Linked DNA regions of Macaca mulatta. The protein of the gene in region 2 purifies or fractionates together with the protein of the main gene of each other region. This does not show direct contact. Links are inferred from orthologs where the notes say so. Each region holds a gene or a part of one and is shown on either strand. Other genes may lie near its edges.

Region 1 (9,857 bases), on a different chromosome or scaffold from region 2:
CCTCCTCACCTTCCCTGTCTGCAGCCTCTCTGGCCATCTCCACCCACTGTGGCTCCTATATATGCCCAGGCCCCTCCTTGGGCCGGTCTCCCAGGAAGGAGGGAGGGTGTGTATGTGTGTTTTGGGGCACGGCAGGGGGTGGACAAGAGGCCGAGCCGGCAGACCAGGATGGGTGAACAGCTTCTATGGGCTCCCTGCCACCCCCATGATTTATAGACTTGAAATTCCAGATTGTGTAGGACCCATGGCCTCTGGGTCCCAGGCTCCATTGGTGGTGGAGTTGGGGGTGGAGGGGTGCGCGCACCACCTGGCATCTCTCTTGCTAGGACATGGGCCTTCCTGGAAGTAGGAGCAAGATCCAAGGCCGGACGCAGTGGCTCACGCCTGTAATCCCAGCACTTTGGGAGGCCGAGACGGGCGGATCACGAGGTCAGGAGATGGAGACCATCCTGGCTAACACGGTGAAACCCCGTCTCTACTAAAAATACAAAAAAAATTAGCCAGGCGTGGTGGCGGGCGCCTGTAGTCCCAGCTACTCGGGAGGCTGAGGCAGGAGAATGACGTGAACCCGGGAGGCGGAGCTTAAAGTGAGCCGAGATCGCGTCACTGCACTCCAGCCTGGGCGACAGAGACTCCATCTCAAAAAAAAAAAAAAAAAGATCCAAATCAGGGGAGGGCGTGGTAGCTCAGGCCTGTAATCCCAGCACTTTGGGAAACTGAGGTAAGTGGATCGCTTGAGCTCAGTAGTTTGAGACCAGACTGGATAACACGGTGAAAACCCGTTTCAAAAAAAAAAAAATACAAAAATAATCAGCCAGACTCATGCCTGTGGTCCCAGCTACTTGGGAGGCTGAGGTGTGAGGATGGCTTGAACCTGGGGGACAGAGGTTGTAGTGAGCCAAGATCATGCCATTGCACTCCAGCTTGAGTGACAGAGCCAGGCCCTGTCTCCAAAAACAAACAAAAAATCCACTTCAGACCCACAGATGGGTCCTGAATCCCAAAAGTGCCTCTTCTGCTGTGTGACCTTGGGCAGGTGGCTGCTCCTCTGTGAAGCCGGGAGCCCGTGGGGAGGCCCAGGCAGGGACCCCTGCCGAGGCCAGGGCTGCACCAAGACAGAGCAGTGGGGAGATGAGGGGACAGGTGGAAGGGGTGCTTAGGAGGCTGATTACATGGGCAGTGGGCTGAGGGAAAGGATGGCACCCAGGATAGATGTGTGAGGGGAGTCTGAGATGAGTACAAAGAGCGGGAAGAAGAACGTGCTAGAAAGTAAGAGGGGCACACTGGGCTTGATTGAAGAAAAGTCCCTGTTGCCCCCCAACACACACATGGACCAAGCAGACATGTATTTCTTCAGGCTGCAGAATGAGAAACCTAGGTTCGAATCCCGATTCCGCCCTCTGCAACCTCTGCCTCCCAGGTTCAAGCGTTTCTCCTGCTTCAGCCTCCTGAGTAGCTAGGATTATAGGCGCCCGCCACCACGTCCAGCTAATTTTGTATTTTTAGTAGAGATGGGGTTTCACCGTGTTGCCCAGGATGGTCTTGAACTCCAGACCTCAGGTGATCCGCCCGCCTCGGCCTCCCAAAGTGCTGGGAGTATAGGCGTGAGCCACCGCACCTGGCCATTAAGAACTAATTTCTTAGGTGTAAATAATTATGTTTAAAAAAATAGGTATCTCGAGGCAGGAGAATAGTTTGAACCCAGAAGGCAGAGGTTGCAGAGAGCTGAGATGACACCACTGCACTCTAGCCTGGGCAACAGATTGCGACTCAGTCTCAAAAAAAAAAAAAAAAAAATGGTATCTCCAAGAGATACATATAGTTTCTTATTTCTGGATAAAATATAATCTCCAGGATTGGCTTTAAAATTATGTAGGGTGGTTGCACACATAGGTACTTAGGTTATTCTGTATAATCAACTATTTGACTCATTGACTGGCACAGAGAGGGTAGTCAAGGTTCAATAAAATTAAGTTAAAAAATGCTGGGCGCGGTGGCTCATGCCTGTAATCCCAGCACTTTGGGAGGCTGAGGCAGGTGGATCACCTGAAGTCAGGAGTTTGAGACCAGCCTGGCCAACATGGTGAAACCCCATCTCTACTAAAAATACAAAAATTAGCCAGGCGTGGTGGAGTGTGCCTGTAGACCCAGCTAGTTGGGAGGCTGAGGCAGGAGAGTCGCTTGAGCACCGGAGGTGGAGGTTGCAGTGAGCAGAGGTCATGCCATTGCACTCCAGCCTGTGTGACAGAATGAGATTCTATCATAAAAAAACAAAAACAAAATAAAACAATTAAATTAAAAAAATAAACACAAAACAGAAAAAATACTCACTGAAGCCCCTCCCTGGTCAGGGCACTGATTCCAGCCCAGCTTCTTGCCACTGCCTAGCCCATTCACACGCATGGTCTCACTTTTCCAATGAGTTTTTATTAGCAGGTAAGTCACGATTTAGGATCCCGGGGTGGGGATCACTAGGTACTAGGTCCCCCTTCACCATCCTGGGAGAAGGACAGAGGACAGAAGACAGGGAGGTACAGCCAGTTCAGATCTTCCCGGGAAACGTGCCTTCAGCCCGTTGCTCGTCCCAGTCTGTGACCTGTGGAAAGACAGTGTTATTCCCACCGCGGTAGGGAAACCGCATGGGGGGACTTCTTATCTTCCTCACTTTGCCCACCTGTTTGTTCAACCAATATCCACAGGTACCTGCTGTGTGCCAACCTCTATTCCAGGGGCCGGGGAATCAGCAGTGACCCCAAAAGACAGAAATCACTGTTCTGAACAAGCTGACGTGCTGGGAGGAGAGTAACAGGCAGCAGGAAAACCCCAGGCCCACTGCAGAGCTGTCGATGGGGAGATCTGTCACTGTACAGAGCTCCAAGGGTGGGCCCTGCTTTGAAAACCTCATGTCAACACTATGCTGTTTGTCCAAATAGGGGAGATGGAATAGCAGGCAGCTGTGAAAAAACAAAACGAGGCTGATTTATGTTCTGGCATGAATGGCATGATCTTCAAGATATACAGTCAAGTGCAAAAAAGGTGCCAAACGGAATACACAGTGCAATCCCACCACTGACCACAGGCAATGCTTAGTATAAATGATGATAGAGGCTGGGTGTGGTGACTCAGGACTCACGCCTGTCATCCCAGCACTTTGCGGGGCCAATGTAGGAGGACTGCTTGAGCTCAGGAGTTTGAGACCAACCTGGACAACACAGCAAGACCCCCATCTCTACAAAAAACAAAAAACAAGCGGGGCATGGTGGCTCATGCCTATAATCCCAGCACTTTGGGAGGTGGAAGTGGAAGGATCGCTTGAGCCCAGGAGTTTGAGACCAGCCTGGTGAACGTGGCAAAACCCTGTCTCTACAAAAGATACAAAACTTAGCCAGGCATGGTGGCATGCACCTGTAGTCCCAGTGACTAGGGAGGCTGAGGTGGGAGAACTGCCTGAACCCAGGAGTTCGAGGCTGCAGTGAGCTATGATGCTACCATTGCACACTGCCCTCCAGCCTGAGTGACAGAGCAAGATTGTCTCTCTAAAAACAAAAATAAAAATAAAAATAAAAAAAAGATGAAAAGGCCCATATAAGGCCTATGTCAAATTAACACTCCCTGAAAGTAACACTCTACTCTGTGGGCCTCACAGGCAGTTACAAGCATAAACGTTTTTATATACATATGTGCTCACATTTTATGCTATAAGGCAGGGGTCCCTGAGCCCCAACCAGGTACTGGTCTGTGGCCTATTAGGAACTGGGCCGCACAACTGGAAGTGAGCGGCAGGTGAGCGAGAGAAGCTTCAACTATATTTACAAGCACTCCCTAAGGCTCAAATTACTGCCCGAGTTCCACCTCCTGTCAGATCAGCGGCGGCATTAGATTCTCACAGGAGTGCGAACCCTATTGTGAACTGCGCATGCCAGGGATCTAGGCGGTGCGCTCCTTATGAGAATCTAATGCCTGATGATCTGTTACTGTCTCCCATCACCCCTAGATGGGACCATCTCGTTGGAGGAAAACAAGCTCAGGGCTCCCACTGATTCTACAGTATGGTGAGTTGTATAATTATTTTATTATATATTGTAATAATAGTAGGAATAAAGTGGACAATACATGTAATATGCTGGACTCATCCTTACACCATCCCCAACCCTGTCTGTGGAAAAACTGTCTTCCATGAAACCCGTCCCTGGTGCCAAAAAGGGTGAGGACCACTGGTGAAAGGAACAGTGGATGAAAGCATGGACAATGGAGAGACTGAATCTGAATCCCTGCTCCATCACTTCCGAGCTGTGTGACCTTGGGCAAGTTACTCAACCTTTCTGGGCCTCAGTTTCCAATTCCGTAAAATGAGGATACTAACAATAGTACCTACCTCATACGGTTGTTTTAGCATGTTGACCTCATGTGATGTAAAGTGCTAACATGGCCGGGCACAGTGGCTCACGCCTGTAATCCCAGCACTTTGGAAGGCCGAAGCAGGTGGATCACCTGAGGTCAGGAGTTTGAGACCAGCCTGGCCAACATGGTGAAACTCTGTCTCCACTAAAAATACAAAAATCAGCTGGGCGTGGTGGCAGGCGCCTGTAATCCCAGATACTCGGGAGGCTGAGGCAGGATAATTGCTGAACCCGGGAGGCGGAGGTTGCAGTGAGCTGAGATTGCACCACTGCACTCCAGCCTGGGAGACAGAGCAGCAAGACTCCATCTCAAAAAAACAAAAAAAACAAAAAAAAACAAAGTGCTAACAACATAGCTGGCCCATAATAAGTGCCATCAGTGTATGCCTACTTTATTTACATACACACACCACACCATAAAAACTCCATCCTTGCAAATTGACTCCTACTATATAGATTGTTCTGCAACTTGCTTTTCCTGTGTCTTAGCATTCTTTCCGTGTGCCAGCACGTAGATCACCACAGTCTCCATAAAGACTATCAAGATAAATGTTTTAAGTTGGGTTATTTCCAAATATTCCCCATTACAAACAGCTCTGCAATGGGCATCTTTGTACATGAAGATTTTTGTAGCATGCCTAGATGTGGAATTGCCAAGTTAAAGAAGGGTAATTTTTTTTTATTTTGAAAGATTCAGCTGGATGTGGTAGCTCACGCCTATAATCCCAGCACTTTGGGAGGCTGAGGCAGGCAGACTGCTTTGAGCTCAGGAGTTCGAGACCAGTCTGGGCAACATGGCGAAACCCCATTTCTACAAAAAAATACAAAAATTGGGCCAGGTGTGGTGGCTCATGCCTGTAGTCCCAGCTATTCAGGAGGCTGAGGCAGGAGAATTACTTGAACCCAGGAGGCAGAGGTTACAGTGAGCCGAGATCATGCTACTGCACTCCAGACTGGGCAACAGCGTGAGACTCAAGAAAGAAAAGAAAAGAAAGAAAGAGAGAAAGAGTGGGAGAGGGAGAGGGAGACAGGGAGAGAGGGAGAGAAGGACAGAGGGAGAGAAGGAGGGAGGCAGAGGGAGAGAGGGAGAGAGAGGAAGTGGGGGGGGGAGAGAGAGAGACACAGAGAGAGGCAGGCACAGTGGCACATGCCTATAGTCCCAGCTACTCAGGAGGCTGAGGCAGGAGGAACACTTGAGCCCAGGAGTTCGAGTCCTGCCGAGGCAACATCGTGAGACCCTGTCTTTAAAAACTTGTTTTTGTTTTTGCTTTTTAAACAAAGGGCAGGGGCATAGCAAAGAGCTATTAAATATTGACAACAGATTTGCTCAGATCAGGGCTGAAGGGACTCTCTTACTGTGTCATTATTTAGAAGTCTACACTGAAGTAGGCAGGGGTGAAATGATGTGTCTGGGACTTGCTTTAGAATACTTCAGCAAAGGAAAGAAGAAAAAGAAAAAGGGTAGATGAAGAAACTGTGGATAAATCTTGATAACTATTCACTTTGGGTGATGGATGTATTTGGGGTCAATGAATTATTCTCTCTACTTTGAAAATGTTCATAATAGGGCGGGGCGTGGTGGCTCACACCTATAATCCTGGCACTGTGGGAGGCCGAGGCGGGTGGATCATGAAGTCAGGAGATCGAGACCATTCTGGCTGACATGGTGAAACCCCATCTCTATTAAAATACAAAAAACTAGCTGGGCGTGGTGGTGCACACCTGTAGTCCCAGCTACTTGGGAGGCTGAGGCAGGGGAATCGCTTGAACCTGGGAGGCGGAGGTTGCAGTGAGCCAAGATCGCGCCACTGCACTCCAGCCTGGTAACAGAGCAAGACTGTCTTTAAAAAAAAAAAAAAAAGAAAGAAAAAGAAAATGCTCATAATAAAAAAGGACAGGACTGCACAGAATTGTGAGCTATACAGGGATGGGAACCCAGTGCTGAGTGTGTATTTGGAGAGTGCATGAGTGAGCTACATCTAGCAAGATGCCCTGGTCACCTCAGCTGAGAGCCCTGACTGGTTGAGAGGCATCAACAGAAGGAGAAAGGGAGGCAGTTCTAGGAGGGAGGAAAGGCATTGAGTCCTGGGACAGTGTGGAGCCCTGTCCTCCCTCTGCCCCTCACAGATGAGCTCCCACCAAGCCACCACGCTCCCCTCTGCAAAGACCCCACCCCAGCATCCCAAGGGCCCTGGTAGGAGGCACATACCCAGGATGTGGGGCAGAGGGACTGGTACACACGCTGGTACCATTCGCACACAGAGACATTGCCTCCTTTAGTGGTCATTGCCTTCTGGCAGCGGTGGAAGTCTGTGAAGAAAGGGGTTCAAGTCAGCCCAGATCAAGAGCTGGAACACATTTTTTTTTTTTTTTTTTTTTTGAGGTAGGGTCTCGCTCTGTCACTCAGGCTGGAGTGCGATGGTGTGACCTTGGCTCACTGGAACCCCTACCTCCTCCTGGGTTCAAGTGATTCTCCTGCCTCAGCCTCTCGAGTAGCTGGGATTACAGGCACCTGCCACCATGCCCGGCTAATTTTTTGTATTTTTAGTAGAGACAGGGTTTCGCCATGTTGGCCAGGCTGGTCTTGATCTGCCTGCCTCAGCCTCCCAAAGTGCTAGGATTACAGGTGGGAGTCACCGCATCCAGCAAAATTACATTTATAAAGATGTTTACAGCCACATCATTTGAAAGAACTCCAAAATGAAAATCACACAAGTGTCCAGGCGTAGAATAAATTGTAGAAAACTGAACAGCAATGAAAATGAGCAAGTTATATGCCACAGCATGTATAGATCTGAGAAGGTATTCGAATGAAAAAATCCAAACACAAAAGAAAACACACAGTATTTATAAAGTTCACAAAGAGGTGAATCTAAACACGGTGGTAGCTGCACATGGTGGCTCACACCTGTAATCCCAGCACTTTGGGAAGCCGAGGCAGGTGGATCACTTGAGGTTAGGAGTTCGAGACCAGCCTGGACAACATGGTGAAGCCCTGTCTCTATTAAAAATACAAACAATTGGCCAGGCATGGTGGCTCATGCCTGTAATCTCAGCACTTTGGGAGGCTGAGGCAGGTGGATCACGAGGTCAGGAGATTGAGACCAGGCTGGCCAACATGGTGAAACCCTGTCTCTACTAAAAACACAAAAATTAGCCGGGTGTGGTGGCACGTGCCTGTAGTCCCAGCTACTCAGGAGGCTGAGGCAGGAGAATTGCTTAAACCCAGGAGGCGGAGGTTGCAGTGAGCTGAGATTGCACAACTGCACTCCAACCTGGGCAACGGAGCAAGACTCTGTCTCAAAAAAAAAAAAAAAAAAAAATTGGCCAGGCACGGTGGCTCACACCTGTAATCTCAGCACTTTGGGAGGCTGAGGTGGGTGGATCACGAAGTCAGGAGTTTAAGACCAGCCTGGCCAAGATGGTAAAACCCTGTCTCTACTAAAAATAAAAAAATAAAAAAAATTAGCCAGGCATGGTGGCAGGTGCCTGTAATCCCAGTTACTCAGGAGGCTGAGGCAGAGAATTGCTTGAAGCTGAGAGGTGAAGGCTGCAGTGAGCTAAGATGGCACCACTGTACTCCACCCTGGGTGACAAAGCCAGACTCCATCTCAAAAAAAAAAAAAAAAAAAAAAAGCCACGTGCAGTGGCTCACACCTGTAATCCCAGCACTTTGGGAGTCCGAGGCAGGCGGACCACGGGGTCAGGAGATCAAGATCATACTGGCTAACATGGTGAAACCCCATCTCTACTAAAAATACAAAAAAATTAGCCGGACGTGGTGGCGGGTGCCTGTAGTCCCAGCTACTAGGGAGGTTGAGGCAGGAGAATGGCATGAACCTGGGAGGCAGAGCTTGCAGTGAGCCGAGATCACGCCACTGCACTCCAGCCTGGGCGACAGAGCGAGACTCTGTCTCAAAAAAAAAATTAGCTGGGTGTGGTGGCGGGCGCCTGTAATCCCAGCTACTCAGGAGGTTGAGGCAGGAGAATCACTTGAACCCGGGAGGCAGAGGTTGCAGAGAGTTGAGATCGTGCCACTGCACTCCAGCCTGGGCAACGAGAAAGAAACTCCATCAATAACATAACAAAATAACATAATATACATAACATATATACAATAAAATAAAATAAAAAACATGGTGGTAAAACAAAGATGTGAGGCCTTGTGCAGTGGCTCACGCCAGTAATTCCAACACTTTGGGAGGCCGAGGCGGGTGGATCACCTGAGGTCAGGAGTTCAAGACCAGCCTGATCAACATGGTGAAACCTCGTCTTTACTAAAAACAAAAAACACAAAAAATTAGCTGGGCATGGTGGTGGGTGCCTGTAATCCCAGCTACTCATGAGGCTGAGACAAGAGAATCGCTTGAACCCAGGAGGCGGGGGAGGTTGCAGTGAGCCAAGATTGTGACATTGCACTCCAGCCTGGGCAACAAGAGCAAAAAACTCAGTCTCAAAAACAAACAAACAGGCCGGGCGCGGTGGCTCAAGCCTGTAATCCCAGCACTTTGGGAGGCCGAGACGGGCGGATCACGAGGTCAGGAGATCGAGACCATCCTGGCTAACATGGTGAAACCCCGTCTCTACTAAAAAATACAAAAAACTAGCCGGGCGAGGTGGCGGGCGCCTGTAGTCCCAGCTACTGGGGAGGCTGAGGCAGGAGAATGGCGGGAACCCGGGAGGCGGAGCTTGCAGTGAGCTGAGATCCGGCCACTGCACTCCAGCCTGGGCGGCAGAGCGAGACTCCGTCTCAAAAAAAAAAAAAACAAAAACAAAAACAAAGATGTGATCACCCCCAGTTAGTGGGGTCACTTCTCTACTGGGGAGAGCAGGGTGTTGTGTTCCAGACAGGACATAAAGAAGGCAGGGGCCGGGCGCGGTGGCTCATGCCTGTAATCCCAGCACTTTGGGAGGCTGAGGTGGGCGGATCACCTGAGGTTAGGAGTTCGACACCAGCCTGGCCAACATGGAGAAACCCCATCTCTACTAAAAAAACAAAATTAGCCGGGCATGGTGGCACATGCCTGTAATTCTAGCTACTAGGGAGGCTGAGGCAGGAGAATCGCTTGAACCTAGGAGGCAGAGGTTGCAGTGAGCCAAGATCGCTCCATTGCACTCCAGCCTGGGCAACAAGAGTGAAACTCCATCTCGAAAAAACAAAATAAATAAATAAAGAAAGAAAGAAAGAAAGAAAGAAGGTGGGGAGATAAGAGTGTGGGCAACGTCTGCTTTTCTATCCAGGTTATGGTTGCACAAGGGGTTCACTTTAGAATTATTCATTTAGCTGTATATGTTTGTTATGTGCTTTCTGTACATGTTACACTACACACACACATACAGCTTAAAAAAAAAAATCATTGTAGGGGCCAGGCACAGTGGCTCACAACTATAATCCCAACACTTTGGGAAGCTAAGGCAGGAAGATTACATGAAGCCAAGAGTTTGAGACCAGCCTGG
Region 2 (10,427 bases):
CGATTATAGGTGCCTACCACCACGCCTAGCTAATTTTTTCTATTTTTAGTAGAGACAGGGTTTCAGCGTGTTGGCCAGGCTGGTCTCGAATTCCTTCCTTCAGGTGACCTGCCCACCTCAGTCTTCCAAAGTGCTGGGATTACAGGCATGACTCACCATGCCAAGCCAATGATTCTAATTTATATTTTAAAAAATTACCCTATGATCTTAAAACTTTTAACTGATTAGTATCCAAGCCTTAAACTTCATAACAATTATTTCAAAAGTGGAAAAGTCACTGGGATATGGGAACAAGTATGATTTGTATTTATACTTCCATTTTTCTAATGTCTACTTTTTGTTTTCTAGTATACATGTTAGCACAGGAGTATATGTATTACTTAAGCATGCCTATGTTGGGGTGAATACATAATTTATTTTTAAATGATAGGATGCAAAATCAAATCTATTTGGATAGCAGTGAAGAGGCTATTTCTCAATCCTGGCAAACTAGGGGGTGTACTCCCCCTTCTTTTATTCAGTAGCTTCCACAAGGATGTAACTTATGGAAGTTATATCCTTCCATAAACTGATAGGCTATCCAACCAGTGAGGAAAACTGATAAAGTGGCCTCTGAGCTCCAGGCAGCAGTTAAACACGACTAAAAATATCTTGAAAGTTTGTAAAAAAATTTAACAGTAAATGGATTCAGTAGTTATTCAGTGTAAGGTTTGGAATTCAAAAACTCCAGCCATTACAATAGACATTTATTTAAAGTAAAACATCTGCAGACCAAACAATTCTTAAAATTGTTTGTTTCAAGTATAACCATCTTCATAACAGCTGCATTCACAGACTTCAACTACATGATTACTTCTTTGCCCATTCTTCTCTTTCTTTTCTTTCCCGAATAACCTCTTTCAGATACGGTTCAAGGTAGAAATTTTCCTAAAGAATGAATGAAATATTATATGTTACCATTGCGTACTGATATATCCCAAACACTCAACAGGTCTTCGATAACAAGAAAAAGAAAATTACTTTTTAATTTCCAATTTTAGAAAACATATTCTCAACCTAAGAACTATCTGCTTTTTAAAAAGTCAAATCTGTGGTGATAGTGTGGTAAGTTGCTTTGATAGGTTATGAGAGGGAAGTCTTTTTGGGAAGAAAAAGAAATGAGTGTCTACAGGCCTTCGCCTAGTTTCAATGCAGTTCAAGGGGTGAGAGTTTGCTTCACAGAAGCTCTTCTTGGGATCTGGAGGGCCACTCAATGGGCTGATCTTTTCATCTAAGTAGGAAGCAGAGTGCAGAGGTAGAACAACAATGACCTGGGTGGCAACAGACCTGGATTTTAGTCCTGGCTCTCTATATTAGAGACTTGCTTAGTGATTTCAGAAGAATCATTTCACATATAAGAGTCAATGTGGTTTTCTTCTAAAACGGAAATAACATTTGCTTTATTAACCTCACCAAACTATTGACAGAATATTTATTTGACATGACTCAGAAAACTCTAACACCACGCAAATGAACATGTTTCTCGTTTCTAAAACTCAATCCTTAATGAGCAACATTGTCAGGTAGATAAAGCTGTGCTACCTCTTCATATTTGGTCCACTGCTCTTTAGGCAAGATCTGATGCTTCAGGTTCAGGTCCAGTGCCCTCTTAATTCGAAACACCCTGCCATTATAAAGGTTCTCAGGAAGCCTTCTTATGGCTTCTTTTACGTCTTCATCCTCGTACATTGTATCATCTCGCAATAACCCTATGACAGACGACAAAGTTAGATAGCACATGCATCTCAAAGATCACGTTTTTTTAAAATTAGTAAAATATCTTTATGACTTATAACTTACAACTTTTGGTGAACTATCGAATTCAAATCACTAGGTTCAATGGAAATTCAATGCACTTCATACATTAGGTTGGTGCAAAAGTAATTGCGGTTTTGCCATTAAAAGTAATGAGTTATTACTTGACATAATGGGTTATTTCTTGAACTAGACTATGGAAACAATATATGAGCCTCTTAAAATCCAATGCCACAAAATTCATATTTTATCTAAACCATTTACAAAATATTTTAAATGTTTACTTTGTTTTTAAACACACATTAATAAACCACATCTCTACTTTCTCATAGTTTAAATCTGAGATCAAGGTATTAATGAATCTTAAAATAATAGTATACTAAGGAACCAGTGACTTTTGCTTACACTTTCTTCAAGCTTCAATAGCAAAAGATGAAGTTCATGGCAAATTACAAAGTTCTAAAAAAGCTTAGGAAACATATGATCGCATGGATATGATAAAATTTTAATATTTGAAAAATCTCTACTTTCAGTGTTTATAAAACTTAAAATTTTAAGTGGAATGCTGGGCGCACTGGCGCATACCTGTAATCCCAGCACTTTGGAAGGCAGAGGCAGGTGGATCACCTGAGGTCAGGAGCTCGCCACCAGCCTAACATGGTGAAACCCTGTCTCTACTACATACAAAAAAAATTAGCCAGGCATGGTGGCACACGCCTGTAATCCCACCTACTCAGGAGGCTGAGGCAGGAGAATCACTTGAGCCCGGGAGGCGGAGGTTGCAGTGAACTGAGATTGCGCCACTGCACTCCAGCCTGGTGACAGAGCAAGACTCTGTCCCAAATAAATAAATAAAATTTTAAGTGGTAGAGTTGGGAGAAGGGGTGTAGAAGGAAAATGTCTTACTACTTAAATCATTACCAAGTCAAACATTTTAGAGGCTTTCATCCCTCTCCTCTCAAAAAAATTTTAAAAAGGAACTGGATTTAACATAATGTGATTTAATTTTAACATCTTCTGATGTATACAAGAACTGAAATATTTTTTGGAACCACAGTAACACTTGTAAAAGCAATACTCTCAGAAAAAAAAGAAAAATTAAAAAGCACAGATGCTTACCCAGTTTATTGAATCCTGCAGCATTGTAATACCATTTTCGAATACCATCCAGCCACTTGCCTGATGCTGAAACTGATCATTGTCACACTGTTAGTTGCTACAATTATACTATATGAACACACTGATGGGCAAGCAACCAGTACTCAGTTATCTTGCTGATGAATGCAAACATAGAAAGAAATTTCCTTTTAAAAGTATATACTATATACAGCAAGAATTTAATCAAAAAAGAATTAGATTTAAAAGAAAAAAGTTTATAAACTGTTGATAAAAATTGCTTATTTTATTTATGAGCAAAAGTGGCTGCAGGAAAATGGTGGCAAGTCATGGAAGAAGAGGGTAAACTCAAACATTGAATGTACAAAAGATCCATAGGTACATCGTGTGCCCTTATGCCTGCCCTGTTACCTTCAGAAATGAAGGGGTGAGAGATAGGAAAAGGACTTGGAAATTTCTATCATTTGTAGTTTCATAAATAGATCACAGGAAATAATTGTAAACTTTTCATTTCAAAGGAGCTGGAGTTGTATGAAAAGAGAGTGAGATTTCAGCATAGGCTGGCAGGTCTAAATGACCCTCATCCTGTAAAAATTTTACTCGACATTACAGTTATTTCATTTGGCTACATTCTTTAAAAATATATGTATTTTGGGGAGGATTTTGATACCATTAGTCATTTAAACATTAATATGGATTAGTAAAAGAAGTCCATTTACCTCCTCCTAAGCAACTAAGTTCCCCCCAAGGGAATAGGTATTGAAAACGGATGAGAAATGGGTAATTTTAAAATTCTTGCCGGGCGCGGTGGCTCAAGCCTGTAATCCCAGCACTTTGGGAGGCCGAGACGGGCGGATCACGAGTTCAGGAGATCGAGACCATCCTGGCTAACACAGTGAAACCCTGTCTCTACTAAAATACAAAAAAAATTAGCCGGGCGAGGTGGCGGGCGCCTGTAGTCCCAGCTACTCGGGAGGCTGAGGCAGGAGAATGGCGTGAACCCGGGAGGCGGGGCTTGCAGTGAGCTGAGATCCGGCCACTGCACTCCAGCCTGGGGGACAGAGCCAGACTCCGTCTCAAAAACAAACAAACAAACAAAAAAAAAAAATAAATAAATAAAATTCTTTGGGGAACAGGGCTGAGTCTGATGAAGTAACCCAGCAGGGTCCAAGTACAGCAGGACCGTACCTGACATTTTAGGAGAGACGTTTTACAAAAGGGGAGGTAGAACAAGTTTACATTTTCTTTTAAAATTTTGTCTAGCGTTAGCCCCTTACCAAGGAAGGAAAGCAAACTCTCCTTTCACTCAGCCCTCCTTGCCTGCAAACTCAGTGCACTACAGATTACGTGGCTTCAGCACATCTCCTTGGAAATGAAGTCATGTATAAAACTGCTGCCAGAAAAACAAGTATCAGTCAACAATCTACAAACATACTTGTGGAAGACAGATTATTTTTAACCACCTATCAGTGACTAGAATAATATTCACTAAACACTTATTGTGCACCAAACACTTTCCTATTTGCTTTACCAACATTAGCTGATTTATTTACATGCCTCTTACTACAGCAAGGGAAGCAGACTTACAGAAGTGATCCCACCCAAGGTCAGTTAGCTAATGGGAGTTGAGATCTGGTCTATGTAGATCCCAAACACGCACAGAATCAGTGTCTTGAATTTAGTAAGACTCCTTCAATATCTGCTAAATTAATAAAATAATTATTTAAAAAGTCTCCCCCACCCCCAAAAAGCTCAATGTCAATTAGGTTAGCGGATGTTTCTGGCAACCTGATGTTTCCTAACAGCTTCACAATTGCTGGGGTCAGGGAGAAAAGGATCAATATTTTTTAAAAGCTACTCCAACTTGGTTGCATTGCAGTGAGACGAGATTGTGCCACTGCACTCCAGCCTGGGCGACAAAGCAAGACTCCTTCTCAAAAGAAAAAAAAAAAAAAAAAAAAAAAAGATACTCCAACTTGTACCGCCAGAGGGCAGAGATTAGCAAAAAAAAAAACAAAACAAAAAAACAAGGAAACCCAACTTAATGTTCAAGTTGTTTTAAATATTCCAGTAATATCTGCATTCTATTCCACAATAAATTTGTTTGAACCTACAATAAATTCAAATTTCTCCAAACCTACTGATCAAGCTGACGTTCTAGATAATCCAAGGTTAATGTGAAGCGTCGCTCGTATCCCTTGCTAGACTGTCTCTGATTCACAGTTTGAGAAGCGCGAGGGGTGCAATGAAATTTCCAATTCTACTTCCTTGGGTCACTTTGCCTCAGTTGTCTTATCAGCGTAAACGGGAAATTAATATCTCCCTCGTGGCACTGGCAGGAGAATTTATAGGGCCAATGCACACGATAGAGCACCTGGGTCATAGAAGAAAGCACTGAGCTCATTCTGGTTGAAAGTCATCCACTAGTTATCTTCTTGTGACCTTTAACTTTTCTAAGGCCGAGGGGAAGGACTTCCGAGCACAGGCAGCTGGAACTCCAGGGCTGTTAGAGCCACCGCGGGCACCTTCACAAACAGCGGGTTAACACCCCAACCCTATATAGGCAAGCCCGGCCTGGGAACAACAAACGAGTGGGGAAGCACGTCCTTTTGGCTGGACTGAAGCCGCCACTTTCCCTTCCGCGACAAACTTGGTGACTTACAAAGAAGAGAGAAAACGGAGTGAGCTGCAGCGAAAATAAACGGTGGAGCGCGACGATGCCCGCCAAGAAGACTCCCCAGTCACTTACCCGCCTGCTTGCCAGCCATTTTGACCAGAAAATGAAACGTTGCCTTCTGGGTAAGTCATAGAGGACACGCTGGGCCCAGTCCGCAGGCGCGTTACGCCACATCGCGAACCGAGAAACGCCGCTTGCGCAGGCGCAGTTCTGACGGCTGTCGTTGAGCTCTTGCGTGTGCACTTCTCGGCCAGGGTGAGGCCAATGGAGTAGGCGGGGCGTTTTGCGTGCTACATTCCAAGAAGTATTGGTTGTGATGTGATGGGAAGAACACAGGTCAGGAATTAGGAGACCGAGGCTTAAAGCTGGGTTCTGTTACTTGCTGTTAATAGCTATGAGAGCGTGGGCAGTATGAATTCAGCTCTTTGTGCCAGGCAGGAAGCTAAATGTTTTAAGGGCATCGTTTTATTTTCTATTGAAGGACTGATGGATGCGCCATCCCAAAAATATATGGAATTGGTACACTGATTATTTGGAGTTGAAAATGTTGGAGAAATTGTAGTTTCAGAAAGGGTTTGATGACCCATCTCTTCCTGCATGCAGCAAGCCGTAAAGTTTCCTCCAGGATTCCTCCGGAGTACCCGTCCCTTACCAGAGGGAGAAAATAGCACCCATCACCAGAGACTGGAAACTGGGAGCTGCTTTGGACCTGAATATACTTTCCGAAATAACCCTTATCTTCCACTAAGTTTACACCCCACCACACCCACGTTTCTCCTAATGACTCCGCAAGAAATTCACTGCCCCTAGCCAGATCCCCTTTCTTCTGATTTGTAGTTCGTGTAAAAAGTATAAAGGCATCTTACATTGGCCACTTCACTCTCTTGTGAGGATCCCCATGCACATGTAAAACATGTAAAACTAGTAAAATTAGTATGCTTTTCTCTTGTTAATCTGCCTTGTGTCAATTTGGTTCCTAGATCCAACCAAAGAGCCCACATAAGAGCAAAGGCGTGATCTCTCACTCCCCTACACTGTCATTTAATTCTAAAAGTACTGTCATTATCTCATTGTAGATAGGAGAAAGCTGAAGCTCAGAAAGGTTGAATAACTTGTCCAAGAGGACATGACTAGAAGAGTCCAGGTTCTTCTTCCAGAATCTGAAAATCCAGACGCAAACTTAGGGCTCCTTAATTCTAGGGCCATATGCTACACTACTAATCCAGGAAAGACACCAAGCCTTTCAGGCCTTGGGTTTCTCCAGCTGAAGATCTACATCTAGCTATTTTAGTGGAAGGTTAGGTCAGAAAGGTTTTGGGTTTTTCGTTTGGTTGGTTGGTTGGTTTTTTTTTTTTTTTTTTTTTTTGGTCACCTCTTTTTTTGTTGTTCAGCCTCTATCACCCAGGCTGAATGGCACAATCTTGGCTCACTGCAACTTCTGCCTCCAGGGTTCAAACGATTCGTGCCTCAGCCTCCTGAGTAGCTGAGACTACAGGTGTACATGCCACCATGCTCGCTAATTTTTGTATTTTTAGTAGAGACAGGGTTTCACCGTGTTGGCCAGGCTGGTATCAAACTCTTGACCTCAAGTGATGCACCCACGTCGGCCTCCCAAAATACTGGATTACAGGTGTGAGCCATCACGCCCAGAAGAAAAGGTTTTTAAAGATTAAATCTAAGATGTATTGCAGAATTTGCACATAATTTAAAGACAAAAGTATATAGATTTGCTAACTATTAAGGTCTCAGCCCCAACATGTGAAGTCTTAGGCATAAACATCTAGAGACAGAAAACAATTGGGGGGAACTGGCATGACTGATAGTTACTGGTGAACTTCTACCATTACTCGGTGATATCTTTTTTCCCCTCAGTTTTAAGCTCAGAGCTGGGACAATATAGAATAGAACCTTGTCTCGTCGTAAGTTCAAAAGGTTAGATTTAATGATCTTAGTCACATTCCAGTTCTAAGATTCTATTGATTTTCCTTTTTCTTTTATCTCCATGCTGCTACAATTCTTCTATTAGTCAGTCCTGTATGCAGCACTAAAGCTGATGAATGATCTCTTCTATCTTACACTAGCCAAAGTGAAGTCTGAAAGATGTGAAGAAATGCAATACATATGTACATTGGCACATTGCCCTGCAGAGGGTAGGTACTCAATAAACTCTCCTCCCTTCTACCCTTTACGTTTTACTTGCTGGTTACAGGTGAAGGTGACAAGAAAAGACATATCAAAAAATCAGAAACCCAAAATTGTCACAAAATCCAGCTCCTAAGGAATTAAGCTAGAGACTGAATGTTTGCTGGTAGTCATTAATGTTGATTCAAAAACTAATTTTGGTTTTCTTTCCTCCCAGCACAGGATTAGGGATTGCCTTTCTCTGCCCTCAAAGTTAGGCATGGCCATGTGATACTTTAGCCAAGAAAAATGTGATAACTCTTTAAGAGCAATTCTTCACATTCCTTTCCTTTTCCATAGACTGGTAACACTCCAGAAATGATGGAGACAGGATACATCAACCTGTATCACTAAAGATGATGTGGAGCAGAGCCTTTGTGGTCCTAAGAGACATGTATAAGATAAAAACCTTTTGTGGTTTTTCAATCATTTGAGGTTTTAGGATTGTTCATTGTATCAGCACAACTTGCCTATTCTAAGGTTGTTCAGTGGGTTATTCATAAAGGCAAAATGCGGTTGTGAGCCATACAAAGAGAGGACAGGATGGTTCCATGGTGTCCCCAGCTTATTTTTTATTGTTTCCTGTTTGTTGATCTCATCCATTGGCGAACTCCATGAAAGCACCTATCTATGTCACACTCACTACTGTATTCTAGGAACTCAAATGTCGGTTGCATGAATAAAATATGTAACAGGAAAGCCACTATACCTGGCCCTGACCAATTACAAATTTAGTTTTTCATGAGGTTTTTTGAAGGGCATCCAGCACACCACAAAACCCTCAGCACAACAAACTACCCCGAAAGTTAGTGACTTAAAACACTTTCTCCCAATTCTGAATTCAGCTGGGTTGTTCTGCTTAGTGTAGTGTCTGCTAAGGCTGGGACATCCCAGATAACTTCTTCATGCATGTCTGGTACTCAGTTGGCATGGCTGAAAAAGCTGGGGTTTGGCCAGACATCTTTCTCTCCACCTAGTTTCTCCAGCAGAGTAACCAGACCTCTCTATACCGTAGCTTTGGGTGCCAAGAGCAAATGTTCCAAGAGGGCAAGCCCTGATGTGCAAATTCTTATCAAGCCTGTGCTTGACAAATGTCCCCTGGGCCAAATCACATTGGCCCAGAGTCAGTGTGGGAGAGGACTAACTACACAACAGTGCAAATACCAGGTGTGGTTCATGGGGGTTACCAGTGTTAACAGTCTACCCAATCTAGTGATCATAACGCAGACAACTGAAGTTGCGATACTTTGTTTTACAAATAAAAAAGCAAAGACTCAGAGATGAAATCACTTGCCCAGGATAACACATCATAAACAGAAAACAAATCTTTGTTTACTGGTAATAAGTCAAAGGCTAGTTAAGCCTTTCACTATATCTCATTGCCCCTAATCTTTAAACTCCACTTTCCTTTTCCTGATTCTTAGCCAACTGTGAATATCTGTGTTCAAGAAGTTAACAATGTAGATAATCCAAAATGAAGTGTGCTTTGTGGCATTATCTGAGCTGTAGATATTAGATGACTAATGTAGTATGTGCTCTGGAAACTTGTAACAGTTCAAATGAAATAAAGCCATTTTATAATGAAACCACTTTAAAAATCCTCCGTTTTCATCTTCACTAGAATGACAAAGCACCAACTTAAAGTAAACCAACTCTCTCCCTTTCTCTGAACTCGCTGTATTTTCTAAGAAGGAAAAGGTAAACAAGAATTGAGTCACTAGGAACTTGATGAAAAATCTACCACAGTATATGTACCCAAATTTACAGTATCAAATGGTTTCCAATATCAGTTGAGACCCGAGGCATTTAAAAATATATTCATTTATTCATACATATATTCACTTTACAATATTGCATTTTCACATACATAAAAATCTAAAGCGTTTTTAAGAATTTATCAAAGTCTTGTACTGATGCTTTGGCAATCTCTTCACAAAATATTTCATCAGGAATAGATACGAGTTTGTCCAAAGAGATGTAGTTAGGTTTTGCTGGATCATACTGGGCTCTTCCTAAATAGGTAAGAAACAAGTGTCTTTCTTTGATTTTAAACAGCCTTGTATTAAATACCTAGAAAAGAAAAAAAGTTTTTAAAAAACATTGCACATTGGAGGATGAAACATTAAAAAGTTTACTTGGCAAAAATTTTAATAGGTTAACCAATACAAAGTACTAACCACGTGTTCAGTAAGTAGGATAAATGCCAGAGGATTTAAATCCTATATTTTCTGTTAAAAAACTAGAAAAAGGGATTCAAAATCAACATACAAAACAATAATAAAATAATTAAGGGCTATAATGTGGGCAAAGAAGATTGAGTGCTCCAGAGACAGAGGAGAATGTGTTAAAAAAGCAAATCTTCGGCCTGGCGCGGTGGCTCACGCCTGTAGTCCTAGCACTTTGGGAGGCTGAGGCAGGCAGATCATCTGAGGTCAGGAGTTCAAGACAAGCCTGGCCAACATGGCAAAACCCTATCTCTACTAAAAATACAAAAATTAGCTGGGCGTGGTGGCACATGCCTATAATCCCAGCTACTCGGGAGGTTGAGGCAGGAGAATTGGTTGAACCCAGGAGACAGAGGTTGCAGTGAGCCGAGATCCTGCCACCACCTCCAGCCTGGGCAACAGAGTAAGACTCCGTCTCAAAAAAAAAAAAAAAA

What was found.
Region 1: the proteins of UQCRB (region 2) and COX6B1 purify together in Homo sapiens (affinity purification with mass spectrometry; 3 studies listed by BioGRID and IntAct, counting the BioPlex papers as one, with this or other methods). This does not show direct contact. The link is inferred for Macaca mulatta from reciprocal best matches to the Homo sapiens genes UQCRB and COX6B1.

The regions. Positions count from the first base shown.
Region 1 is NC_133424.1:46,914,489-46,924,345, reverse strand, and holds the end of COX6B1 (cytochrome c oxidase subunit 6B1), read right to left. Parts: intron 6,711-9,857; coding exon 6,610-6,710; exon of another isoform or gene 5,990-6,609; intron 5,615-5,989; exon of another isoform or gene 5,073-5,614; intron 2,597-5,072; coding exon 2,543-2,596; 3' UTR 2,409-2,542; downstream 1-2,408. UniProt on the Homo sapiens protein: Component of the cytochrome c oxidase, the last enzyme in the mitochondrial electron transport chain which drives oxidative phosphorylation.
Region 2 is NC_133413.1:106,633,014-106,643,440, forward strand, and holds the start of UQCRB (cytochrome b-c1 complex subunit 7), read right to left. Parts: upstream 5,686-10,427; 5' UTR 5,679-5,685; coding exon 5,660-5,678; intron 2,986-5,659; coding exon 2,914-2,985; intron 1,749-2,913; coding exon 1,582-1,748; intron 928-1,581; coding exon 850-927; 3' UTR 1-849. Other genes in the region: MTERF3 (transcription termination factor 3, mitochondrial), read right to left, coding at 9,644-9,838. UniProt on the Homo sapiens protein: Component of the ubiquinol-cytochrome c oxidoreductase, a multisubunit transmembrane complex that is part of the mitochondrial electron transport chain which drives oxidative phosphorylation.